Oryctolagus cuniculus: one gene and its partners. The protein of the gene in region 3 purifies or fractionates together with the protein of the main gene of each other region. This does not show direct contact. Links are inferred from orthologs where the notes say so. Each region holds a gene or a part of one and is shown on either strand. Other genes may lie near its edges.

What was found. Proteins that work in one complex are often made in the same cells at the same time.
Region 1: the proteins of RTN4 (region 3) and ATL3 purify together in Homo sapiens (affinity purification with mass spectrometry; 4 studies listed by BioGRID and IntAct, counting the BioPlex papers as one, with this or other methods). This does not show direct contact. The link is inferred for Oryctolagus cuniculus from reciprocal best matches to the Homo sapiens genes RTN4 and ATL3.
Region 2: the proteins of RTN4 (region 3) and CYB5R3 purify together in Homo sapiens (affinity purification with mass spectrometry; 3 studies listed by BioGRID and IntAct, counting the BioPlex papers as one, with this or other methods). This does not show direct contact. The link is inferred for Oryctolagus cuniculus from reciprocal best matches to the Homo sapiens genes RTN4 and CYB5R3.

The regions. Positions count from the first base shown.
Region 1 is NC_091432.1:7,548,795-7,553,130, reverse strand, and holds part of ATL3 (atlastin-3), read right to left. Parts: intron 4,131-4,336; coding exon 4,074-4,130; intron 3,317-4,073; coding exon 3,245-3,316; intron 1,316-3,244; coding exon 884-1,315; intron 1-883. UniProt on the Homo sapiens protein: Atlastin-3 (ATL3) is a membrane-anchored GTPase that mediates the GTP-dependent fusion of endoplasmic reticulum (ER) membranes, maintaining the continuous ER network. It facilitates the formation of three-way junctions where ER tubules intersect.
Region 2 is NC_091442.1:118,392,791-118,396,104, forward strand, and holds the end of CYB5R3 (NADH-cytochrome b5 reductase 3), read right to left. Parts: exon of another isoform or gene 3,156-3,314; intron 3,020-3,155; exon of another isoform or gene 2,845-3,019; intron 1,480-2,844; coding exon 1,307-1,479; 3' UTR 707-1,306; downstream 1-706. UniProt on the Homo sapiens protein: Catalyzes the reduction of two molecules of cytochrome b5 using NADH as the electron donor.
Region 3 is NC_091433.1:147,544,923-147,549,258, reverse strand, and holds part of RTN4 (reticulon-4), read right to left. Parts: intron 3,463-4,336; coding exon 1,063-3,462; intron 1-1,062. UniProt on the Homo sapiens protein: Required to induce the formation and stabilization of endoplasmic reticulum (ER) tubules. They regulate membrane morphogenesis in the ER by promoting tubular ER production.

The DNA of each region.
Region 1 (4,336 bases), on a different chromosome or scaffold from region 3:
CCCCAGGACCCTCTGCCCTGTGACGGGGCGGCCAGCTCCTTTGGCTCACCACGCTACGGGCCTACCCGATCTGCTCCTGTCACTCAGAAAGACACGAGCTAGTCTCAAAGATCTGTAAAGCTGGAGACGACCTCTGCAAAGAGCCGCTGACTTGTTGGAAGATTTTAAATGAAGGAGATGTCATCTCTTGTTGAGTTCATATTTTTTTCAGGACTCTTGATTTTCAGCAAAGCAAGATCATGGAGAGGAGAAGGCCGAATCACACAGGAATTGTGTCTAAAGAGCACGCACAGGGCCAGCACTGTAGCGTGGCAGGTAAAGCCGCTGCCTGCAGTGCCTGCATCCCATTTGGGTGCCGGTTCAAGTCCTGGCTGCTCCACTTCCGATCCAGCTCTCTGCTGTGGCCTGGGAAAGCAGTGGAAGATGGTCCAAGTGCTTGGGCCCCTGAACCTGCGTGGGAGACCTGGAAGAAGCTCCTGGCTCCTGGCTTCAGACTGGCCCAGCTCTGGCCATAGTGGCCATCTGAGGAGTGAACCAGCGGATGGAAGGCCTCTCTCTCTCTGCCTGTCCTTTTCTCTCTGTGTAACTGTGACTTTCAAATAAATACATAAATCTTTAAAAAAAAAAAAAAAGCACCCATAGGTTTCCTGTGAGGGACACCCTACTCTAATTTGAAACTTTTTATATACTAAAGGCCCACTTTAAGTCATGGAAACAAAACATCAGGAATAACTACTCCTATCCCAAAGAGGATAACAGACTAAAGCCAAGGAAGTTTAAAAACGGCCCAGGGAGGTTTCTCATGCCCTCTTTGCTACCAAACTCCGAGATGTTTCACGACAGAAGCTGACCCGGCCGCCCACCATCACCCCACACCACTCACCTGCTCCAACACATAGGCCGCACCCACATCGATAGCTCCGCCCAGCTCGCGGTACTGGCCGGAGTACCGGATGTAGCCCCAGGTGAGCAGCGCTATCAGCAGCAGCCCGACCATGCAGTTGAACAGCTGGGCCACGACCTCGAGGCCCACGAAGCCGGTGAGGCCCGAGGCGATGTAGAGGGCCACGATGCCCGCGAAGAGCACGGCGGGCGTGCGGAAGGTGCTGAAGACGTTCTTGCTGCTGTTGTGCCTGCAGAAGCTGCCGTACAGCTCCCCGATCTCCTCCTCCAGCTCCTGCTGGTAGCGCAGGCTGAAGTCCTTCCCGCCCATCTTCTTGGTCTTCCTGAAGTGGTCCAGAGCGAGCTGTCTGAACTCACTGTGCTTCTCCTCTAGAATGTCAGGGGACAGGTAAGGCTTCTCGCCCCCACAAACCTGCAGGCAACAGAGACACGGCATGGCGAAGGTCCCTTCAAAAACAGGTGAAGACTCTCAAAGGTTACAAGGCTTTAAGTATCAGACGTTAATCTCTTATCACTGTGTTCACTTCGGGGCCGGCACTGTGGCGTAGCAGGTAAAGCTGCTGCCTGCAGTGCCGGCATCCCATTAGGCACCAGTTCAAGTCCCAGCTGCTCCACTTCCCATCCAGCTCTCTGCTGTGGCCTGGGAAAGCAGTAGAAGGTGGCCCACGTACTTGGGCCCCTGCATCCACGTGGGAGACCTAGAAGAGGCTCCTGGTTCCTGGCTTCGGATCGGCCCAGCTCCTCTCTCTGCCTCTGCCTCTCTGTAACTCTTTCAAATAAATGAATACATCTTAAAAAAAAAAAAAAAAAAAAACTTTTTCACTGTTTATTTTCATTTTGTTTGAAAGACAAAGAGAGATCTTTCTTCTCTGGTTCACTCCCAAATGCTCACGACAAACAGGGCTGGGCCAGACTGAAGCCAGGAGCCCAGAACTGTCCAACCAGGTCTCCCATGTGGGTGGCAGGGACCCAGGCACTCGGGCCATCCACCTGCTGCCTCCCAGGGGCACAGCAGCAGGAAGCTGGATGGGAGCAGAGCAGCCAGCACTCCAGCCAGCACTCTGCTAGGAAAGGTGGGTGACACACTCACAACTGAGCTGCTGCGGCAAGCGTCAGTTAACTCTCAGAAGGTGACGGAGACCAGTGAAGTCTGGTCTCACTCCTCTGCAGAGCGCACTTGGGTAAGCAGAGTGAGGAGCTCAGCGTGGCCCGGAAACGGAAAGAAATGACCATCAGAAGAGTGAAATCGACGTTTTGAGCTTCGATGACTGTTTACAGCCCTGAACAGTGTTTTTTTAATTATTATTATTTCTTGAACTCTTTACTTAGTGTAGGGTTAATCTCATGAGTGTAAAATAAACTCAAAGTAGATCACTGTAAAAATTAAAGAGGAGGATGAGGAGAGGAAGGAGGAGGAAGGGTGGGAGCGTGGGAAGCATCACCACACTCCTAAACTGGTGTACACCAAATACATGTAACCTGTATACCTTAAATAAAAAAGAATAAGTAAAACACATATATTTTTAAAAAAAAGAAACGAAATGGTGATCAGAAGGACCTGGTTATCACAATGGCCTGAATACAGCTTTGCTGCCTCATAACTTTTTTAAAAAATTATTTTTTTAGCGCCGTGGCTCACTTGGTTAATCCTCCGCCTGCAGCGCCGGCATCCCATATGGGCCCCGGGTTCTAGTGTCGGTTGCTCCTCTTCCAGCCCAGCTCTCTGCTGTGGCCTGGAAAGGCAGTGGAGGATGGCCCAAGTGCTTGGGCCCCCGCACCTGTATGGGAGACCAGGAGGAAGCACCTGGCTCCTGGCTTCGGATCAGTGCAACACACCGGCTATAGCGGCCATTTGGGGGGTGAACCAACAGAAGGAAGACCTTTCTCTCTGTCTCTCCCTCTGTCTGCAACTCTACCTGTCAAATAAAAATATATACTTATTTATTTATTTATTTGACAGGCAGAGTTAGAGAGAGAGAAAAGACAGAGAGAGAGAGAGAGTGCTCTTTCATCTGCTGGTTCACTCCCCCAGATGAATGCAAGAGCCAGGGCTGGGGCAAGGCCAAAGCCAGGAACCCAGAACTCCATCCAGGTCTCCCATGTGGGTGCAGGCGCCCAAGTACTTGGGGCATCTTCCGCTGCTTTCCTGGGTGCATTAGCAAGCAGCTGGATTGGAAGCCAAGCAGCTTGGACTCGAACAGGCATCACAAGTGATGGTTTAACCCGCTGTGCCACAATACCAGCCCCCCTGCAGTGTCAAGTCAGATCAAGTTTGGGCCTCGGAAGACAGCCGCATGGTCAGGTATCGCGACACCTCAGGATCAGGCACCTGCCCACATACCTCTTCCATGTTGTTGTAATACACGTCCTTGGCAGCGGCTGCCGCCGCTAAGTTGTTGGCTTCAGCAGTGGCCTGTTAGGAAAGGAAGGCGTGAGCTATAAACCCTTCCTCTTTGAACATGCTCCACAAATACCCAAGTACAAATCTCTCACCCCACTTCCATTCTTCCTTTCTCGTTAACCTTCTGCTACTTTTTAGACTTTCACATAGCTCAATTTATGAAACAAAATATATCTTTTCTGCCAGATTTTCAACCAAATTAAAATCTGTTCTTTAATATGTAAGACTCGTTAACACAGGATAAACCTCTAAAAATCTAGGGAAATAGCATTTCCTTGTCTCTGGTTTTAAATGTAAGAAATAGCTGTGAATCAAAAAAAAAAAAAAAAAAAAAAAAAAAAAGGAACATTTTCGTCTTTGAAATGTGAGTCCCAGGCACTCGTCTCCTGTGTGAAAATGCTTTGCTACTAAAGGAACTGACATTTGGCAATGAGTGTGCTTATGCTCGTCATAAGAAAGTCAGAGATTATCTGCGTTAACCAGATGACAGTGTCTAGTCAAACACGTTAAAGAACTGCTCAGTGAATGAGTGACCAGGCGCGTCAGCAGACAACAGACGCAGGCCACAGCCTGTCTGCCACGCTGGGTGCGTCCTGCCTGGGAAAGCACGGCTGTGCCCCAGAGTGCGTCTGGTGGGGCACCAGGCCCAGCGAGCAGGGGCCATTCTGTTCTTAACTGGTGCCACCCCACGTCCAGAGACAAGGCCAGCGGCGCCCGCTTACTGCATGTAACTGACAGGTGTCATTCCGGATGTCGGAGAGCCTCTTACCTGCAGCATGGACTTGGGGTGAGGCAGATCTTCCCCTTGGTAAATTTTGATATATGCCTTAGAATACAAACGTTGAAAAGATTATGAAAACTATGGTTCTGTTCAATTTTATTCCCATCTTGAAAACAGTGACCATACAACTGCATTTTCCTAAACACCTAGACCGACAGTCAGGAATTAGCGGAAACACAACACACCTTGGAAGTGCATGTTAGCATTTTTAGTTCACTAAAAATGTTCTCAAGCAGCACAAGCCCACGAAG
Region 2 (3,314 bases), on a different chromosome or scaffold from region 3:
CCCAGGCTGAGTGCTGGGCACTGAGGAGCCCTGCGCTGCCCTGGAACGTGGCGATCCCTCCCCCGTTGCAGGCACCAGGCCCGCCTTCCTAGGAACTCCCGTGCCCCTGGGGGCCCTGGGCCTCCCCCATAGCCATCTGCACTGGCTTCTTGGAGCTGCTCCTAGCGTATTCCACAAGCCTGTTCCAACCCCAAGGCCTGGGCACTCCCGTTTGCCACCCACCCCAGCAAGGCCAGAGCCTGCCCGCCATGTCCCCACCCTGGGATTTCCTGCTGCCCAGTTCCAGGAGCAGACCTGATGCTCACCCCTCACCCGATTCACCACCTTACAGACGAGGACCCGCTGGAGTCCCGGGGCACGGGTGTGTGTGGGGGGGTGGGGGTGGGGCGATGGCTGCACCTGCTGTGCCCGCAGCCCCCACAGCCCCGCCTCCAGCACGCGGGGCGCTCCCTCCCCGGGGAGCAGCCCAGGGCCTTGGTGTGTCCTGTGTGGAGGAGGGAAGAACCCATCCTTGGGGGCCACAGTCTGTGTGGGAGTGGGGCAGGGGTCGCAGCGGAACACCGGGGCTTTCCGACTCCAGCGCGGATCCTGGGGTGGGGGTGAGGACGGCCACAGCCACTCAAAGCGCGGTCAGAAACAGCCAGGGCCGGGGTCTCCAACAAGCCCGGCCCGCCCCACCCCGGCCCAGCACCCAGAGAGTCTCACGTTTCGTTTCTGCTTGTTTATAAATGACTGGAAAAGGCGACGCGAGAGGCTAACAGCTGTTGTCTAAAGGCGAGGCCGAGGCGTGGGTCCCTGGGCCCAGAGGCACTGCTCGGACTGGCCCAGGCTGGGCGGGCGCCGGAGGCCAGCGACACAGGGGCTGCGGTGCTGCCGCCAAGGTGGCGGGGCCCCCAACCCACGCGGGGCCGCCGCGCGCTCCCCTCCCCCGCCCAGCACCCGCCTGTCACCCCAGCCTCCTCCCTAGTGTAGGGGCAGGTGCTGCGGCGGGCAGGGGCGGCGGGCCAGGGTCCAGGGCAGCCCGGGCCCGCGTGTGCTGCGTCTGCAGGTGTGCGCGGGCCGGCGGGGCTCGGTGCTGCGTGGCGAGGGGTCACGTGCGGGTGTGTCCTCGCTGACAACCAGTGGGGGCCGGGAGGACTCCTGGAGTGGCCGGCGGCGGCCCAGCCCACACGCGGCGCCCCTCCCGGGGGCTGCCTCGGCTGCTGACCACCGGGACACGGGCAGACCAGGCTGAACCCGAGGCCCAGCGAGAGGCGCGGCCGAGGGGGACGGCAGGGCGGGCGGCGCGTGGTGGGCGCGCGCGGCCTCAGAAGGCGAAGCAGCGCTCCTTGGCGTGGCCCACGCGCTCCAGGTTGGGCAGGCAGGCGAACTGGATCATGGGCGGGGGCCCGCACATCAGCACCAGCGGCTCGTCCTCGGGGGGCGGCAGGTGGTCCCGGATCATCTCCTGGTTCACGAAGCCCTGGCTGTAGTCCCAGGCTGCGGGGAGAGATGGGGTGAGGCACTGCCCACGACCCTGCACGGAGGCCACGCACACGCCCTTCCCCTGCCCAGCCCGCCTCTGTGTGGCCTCTCACGTGGCCCTCGGGCAGTGGTTCCTGAGCCCATTTAACAGATGTGCACACCGAGGCCAAGACTCCACCATCCGGGCCCAGCCCCGGCTGGCCGGGGCGACGTCATGTCCCGCTGCGGGCCCACTGACTCCGCCCACACCCAGTGCGGGCCCACTGACTCCGCCCACACCCAGTGCGGGGGGGGGGCACTGACTCCGCCCACACCCAGTGCGGGCCCACTGACTCCGCCCACACCCAGTGGGGGGGTGGGGGGCACTGACTCCGCCCACACCCAGTGGTGGGGGTTGGGGGGCACTCACTCCGCCCACACCCAGTGCGGGGGGGCACTGACTCCGCCCACACCCAGTGCGGGCCCACTGACTCCGCCCACACCCAGTGGTGGGGTTGGGGGGGCACTGACTCCGCCCACACCCAGTGCGGGGGGGCCACTGACTCCGCCCACACCCAGTGCGGGCCCACTGACTCCGCCCACACCCAGTGGGGGGTGGGGGCACTGACTCCGCCCACACCCAGTGGTGGGGGTTGGGGGGCACTGACTCCGCCCACACCCAGTGCGGGGGGGGCACTGACTCCGCCCACACCCAGGGCGGGCCCACTGACTCCGCCCACACCCAGTGCGGGGGGGGCACTGACTCCGCCCACACCCAGTGCGGGGGGGCACTGACTCCGCCCACACCCAGTGGTGGGGGTTGGGGGGCACTGACTCCACCCACACCCAGGGCGCGCAGCGTCCGCTGCAGGGTATACGCGAGATGAACAGTGAACTGGAGACGCGTGCCCCAGCACTCAGTCCGCGAGCCCGGAAAGGCAGGGCCGGGACCCAGGCCAGGTCCAGGAGCCCCGCCGGACCCGCCTGCCTCCCTCCCGCACACACAGTGCCGCTGTCTCCAGGCTGGCCACCTTCTACCTCCTCAGGCTACAGTGCCCCAAGGCTGGAAGGGCTGCGGGTTCACCAGGGACCCTCAGGGACCGGCCGGCTAGGAGACCCCCAGCCAGCGAGCGGTGGGTCAGCAGGACTGGAACGCAGGAGAACGGGGGCCCGGCGGCAGCAGAGCGAGGGAGGGCCGGCGGAGACCCACCCGGCCCCCCTGCACCTCGGTTCCGCGTGTGCACCTGCAGCCCGAGCCCCGCCCACCCTAGGGCACGGAGGCCCCCGCTGTCAAGGGCGCCTCGCGACCACCGGCTGAGCCGCGGGACGTAGGCTTAGGTTTGCCAGCCCTCCCGGAGGTTTCCCGTGCTCGGGGTCTGACACGTGCTGGTGCCTCCCCAGGGACCCCTGCGCCCGGGAACACGCAGGCCAGCCGCACGCCACCACCTCCATGCCTCCTGGCCAGGGAGCCCCCGGCCGCCTCCTGACCCCACGAGGACCCCAGCCCTGCCAGCGGGAGATGACGGCAGAGCAGACCCTGCGGCACGGCCTCGGCCGGGAGCCGCGCTGGTCAGAGGCAGCAGGGGTTCTGGCGGGGGGTGGGGGGGCAGGGAGCAGGGCTACCGAGGGGCGGGGCCGGGGGCGGGGCTGGGGCTCCCTCCAGTCCTGAACGCCAGGCTCTCCTGACCCCTCTCTTCTCTGTTACCTGAAAGAGCCCTCGGCACCGACAGACGCTGCCACGGAGCCCCAGGTGCGGAGGGCGCTGGCCCAGGCCACGGCACCTTGCCTGATGGATGACACACACACCCCACCACGCCGACCCTACGAGGCCGCAGCTGGCCTCGGGATGATGGAGAGAACTAGGCTGGGCC
Region 3 (4,336 bases):
CTCTTTCTTCAGTACGTAAGTATATCCAGCAAATACACCCAACATATTAGATTTTACAGAAAACAAATTACAACTTAATTGCAAAAATAAAATAAAAAATATATGTGCATATCACTTTAAGCAAGTTAGTTATATGAGAAATATAGAGTCAAGAGAAAAAAATGAGGATGAGAACTAGAACTTTTTGGAAGAATTCATACCCAAACACTTCGATTTATGCTTTTCTAAAAAATATCTACACTCAAAATGCCTGACCTTATATCAGTTAGTGGAATAGTACTGTACTATACTGAAATATTAAAAACTTGCTACAGGGGCTGGCACAGTGGCATGGTGGGCAAAGCCACCGCCTGCAGTGCCACCATGCCATATGGGTGCAAGTTCAAGTTCCAGCTGCTCCACTTCCGAACCAGCTCTCTGCTATGGCCTGGGAAAGCAGTGGAAGATGGCCCAAGTGCTTGGGCCTCTGCACACACTTGGGAGACCTCAAAGAAGCTACTGGCTCCTGACTCTGGATTGGCGCATCTCTGGTTGTTGTGGCCAACTGGGGATTGAATCAGCAGATGGAGAGTCTCTCTCTCTCTCTTTCTCTCTGTAACTCTGCCTTTCAAGTAAATTAATGAATCTTAAAAAAAAAAAAAAAAAAAAAAGCTTGCTTCAGCCATGTTTTCCTCAAAAATAATAATTTCTAGTATAACAAAAATCTATCTGAAAATAATGGTTTAATATCTCTGGCTCTTCACGCTATTGAAAAACAATTAAGTCCCCACACCCAGAAGAAGAGATACTGAAACCAATTCTAATTTTAAAATGTGTTTTCTAGTGCCATGATGCAATGTAAAAGTGATTAATGAATAACCGTGTGAAAAAGTTAACAGCAAGGGTGATTAGTGTAAGAGGGGGAAATAAAGCACTAAAACCTTCAACTGAGACAGTGATAAAGAATTATCAATGTGATATATTAGACACTAAAAAAGTATTATAGGGCACAAAGTGTAGAATGTTCTGTTGTTAAAATTTTATAAAAGTACAAAATCACAAATCAGTGTATAGATTAATTACCTGAAGTTTTACTCAGCTCTGCTGAAAATATAGCAGATGGTGATCTGTCCTCTTTCACTGTGTCAGAAGGAAGTTTTTTCTCAGCTTCTTTCACAAGAACTTTGGGTTTAACTATGCTGCCTATTTCTGTTTGAGTGTCCAAAGCAGAAACATCTGGAGGAAGTAAGGGTGCCTTGGCTACATCAGACCTATTTTTGGAGAATTCATCTGAGATTTTATCTTCATCTTTTGGTTGTACCTCCTTGAAAGAAAGGTCACGGGGCAATTCTGAGCAGGGCAATGACCCAGTTCCATCCTGGACATTAGGAATTTCACTTCTGTGGGATACTTCCAAGTCAGTGTACTCCCTGGCTGATTTAGGAGAAGAATCAGTTTTAGAACTAACAAATGCAGGGAACTCATCTATAATCTCAATTGGAGATGAATCTGAAAATGTTTCACTTTCTCTTATTGTGGCTTCCTTAGAAACAAGTAAGTCCTCCTTTGCATAAACTGCAGTTTTGAGATCCTCCATTTGCAAAGGAATTTTCTCCTTTTTGGTCAATGTCAAAACTTCATCAGGTGATGGGCTATCTCTTGTGGTGCTTAAATTGGACTGAAAAGATTCCAAATACGGCTTTCCTCCCTCAGGTAGTAAAGTACTGAGTTTTTCTTTATTTTCATATTCTAACGCTGACTCATATGAAGTTTCAGTGAGATTTTCTTTCAAAAGTATCACAGCTTCATCTTGTCTTTGTGGAACTTCAGGTATTGAATCATCACTAAATAAGTCAACTGGCTCAGAATCAGGTGAGGAATCCTCAACTAACTCAGAACGATCAGGCACTGGCTGTTCAACTTTTGCTATTTCTGAATAATTAGCGAAATCTGGGCTTGGTTCACTAGACAGCTTTGTTTCTTTAATTAAATCACATGCAATGGATATATAAGGAGCTTCTGTTTCTTGAACAACTGCATCAGTAGTTTCAGGCTCTTTAATTTCTTCTTTTATTCCTGATATTTTTTTTACGTTCATTGCCTCTTCATATGGGGGTGGACTTTCAGAATCAAGCTTTACACTTTCATAATTAGCTGAAGGAGGAGCTTCTAACGGTGATGAGCTGGGCTGCCCTGCAGAAGCACCAGCACTAGGAACTACAGTATTTAATGGTGCTTCCATAACAATGTCAGGCAAAACTGGTGATGGAGTAGCTTCAGATTCTTCAAATGATGGGCAAAGCTGTGTTACAGGGTAGAGTGATTCCTGCATAGCTTCTGAGGTTTGCACCAAGTCCATTTTTGTTTCATAGGCAATCTTTGTCCCTGCAGCCTCGTTCAATTCACTTCCACATGCTTCCTGTACTAAATCTGGTGTCAGACCCTCAGGCATGTTTGCCACTGCTTCCCCAGTCACCTTTGATAAATTTTCTGTTGTGACATACTCAGTCTGAGAATCCTGTGTTGCTGCAAGGAAAGGGTTTGAGGATTTGGTGCTAATATTCTTCTCTGTTACAATCTGAGCTTTCTTTTCTTCTATTTTTTTTTCATCTGTCTTATTTTCTGAAGTATGGTCTTCCAGCAAAGGAAAAATGTTTGTTGCAATGCTCTCAGTTGCTGCTGGGTTAAAGGGAGCACATGTGATATATGCTCCTGAACCGTCTTTTACAGCTTCTGGTGTACTGGGAAAAGAAGTATCATCATTACTGCTTTCACTCTCTTTTTCATGATTCGTTTGCTCCAGGCTATCTGCAAAATATTTCTCATCCGCTTTACTTTCCAATTTGCTCTCTATACTACCCCCTGCAGCCGGCATACCACTATCTTCCTTATAAGCATCTTTCACTTCCCATACTCGTTCAAATGGTTTGAAGTCTGCATACTCTTCCCTTATAGGAGCTTCTACTGCAGCTTCCTTTTCATTAAAACTGTCCATTGTTTTTTCTGGAAACATAACTTTGTCCTCTTCTTTCACCAGCTCAGTAAGGGCCACAGGTAAGTCTTGCTGATTACGAAGGATGTTATTACTAACTAAGTCCTCTTCTTCATCTTTATTCTTTGCAATTACTTCTTCCCTAGGGTTTGCTACCATTATGGCAGATTCTGCTTTTGGAGAGCCACTAAATTTTGATCCCATTTCTGAATACTCTAGTTCTGAAAACTCTGTTAAATCTCTATCTACAAATGGATTTTTTGCCTTCTCTGAGAGCTGTTTAGAAGCTTCATTTAAAGTTTCTTGAAGTGTTCCTTCCGTGGATAATACTGCTGGTACATTACCAAGGTATTCATGTTCTTTAAAAGAAGCAGCTGAGAGAGGAGATAGAGAAGGAAGAGAAGCAGCAGTTTCAAGTAGGACAGATGGGAAATCCTCTTGACCAGCTGAAACAGTGTTACCTGGCTTCTCCTTCAAATCCATAATTTGTTCTGTGGCCATAGACAGAAAGGAAAGTTAGAAAATGCCAGTGTTCTCAGAGTTATGCAAGCTTTCTGACAGATTCAATCAAATAGTGTTAGTAAAGACTTAACTGTTAACTAAAATGAAATGTTAATAGCATTTTAATTAATTAACTTAATTAATTAAAATAGAATTTAATTAATAAATAACAAGTAGACTTGAATCACTTCTGAAAATATTAAGCTATCTGTCAGTAAAATAGGTGCATGGCTACTACTCAGCATTGTGGTTAAGAATAATATATTGTATATTTCCAAATAGCTCAAAGAGAATTTTAAATACTCTCATCACAACTAAATGGTAGGTATCTGAGGTGAAGCATACATTATATAGCTTGATATGATCTTTCTACAATATACTTGATACATACTTCGAAGTTCACAGAAAATGGAATTGATACAAAAGTTTATTTTGGTGCAAAAACAAAGTTGAAATCCATACACAGAGGCCGGCATTGTGGCAAGGGTTTGGGCTGCTGTTTGCCTTGCAGGCTTTCTATATGGGCGCCAGCTAATTCCTGGCTGCTCTGCTTCTGATCTAGCTCCTTGCTAATATGCTGGGAAGGCAGCCACCTACATGGGAGACCAGAATGATGTTCCAGGCTCCGGCAGATGGAAGGTATCTCTCTCTTTCCCTCTTTGTCTCCTTCCCTTCCTCCCTCCCTCCCTTTTATTCTGCCTTTCAAATACATTTAATATCTCAAAAAAAAAAAATCCACACGTAAGTATTTCCTAATACACATTTTTCAGCTTTATGAAGACCCCTTCATATTTATAGATTGAAACATTTTTGCACCAAAATAAACTTTTTTTTTGAACAGGCAGAGTGGATAGTGAGAGAGAG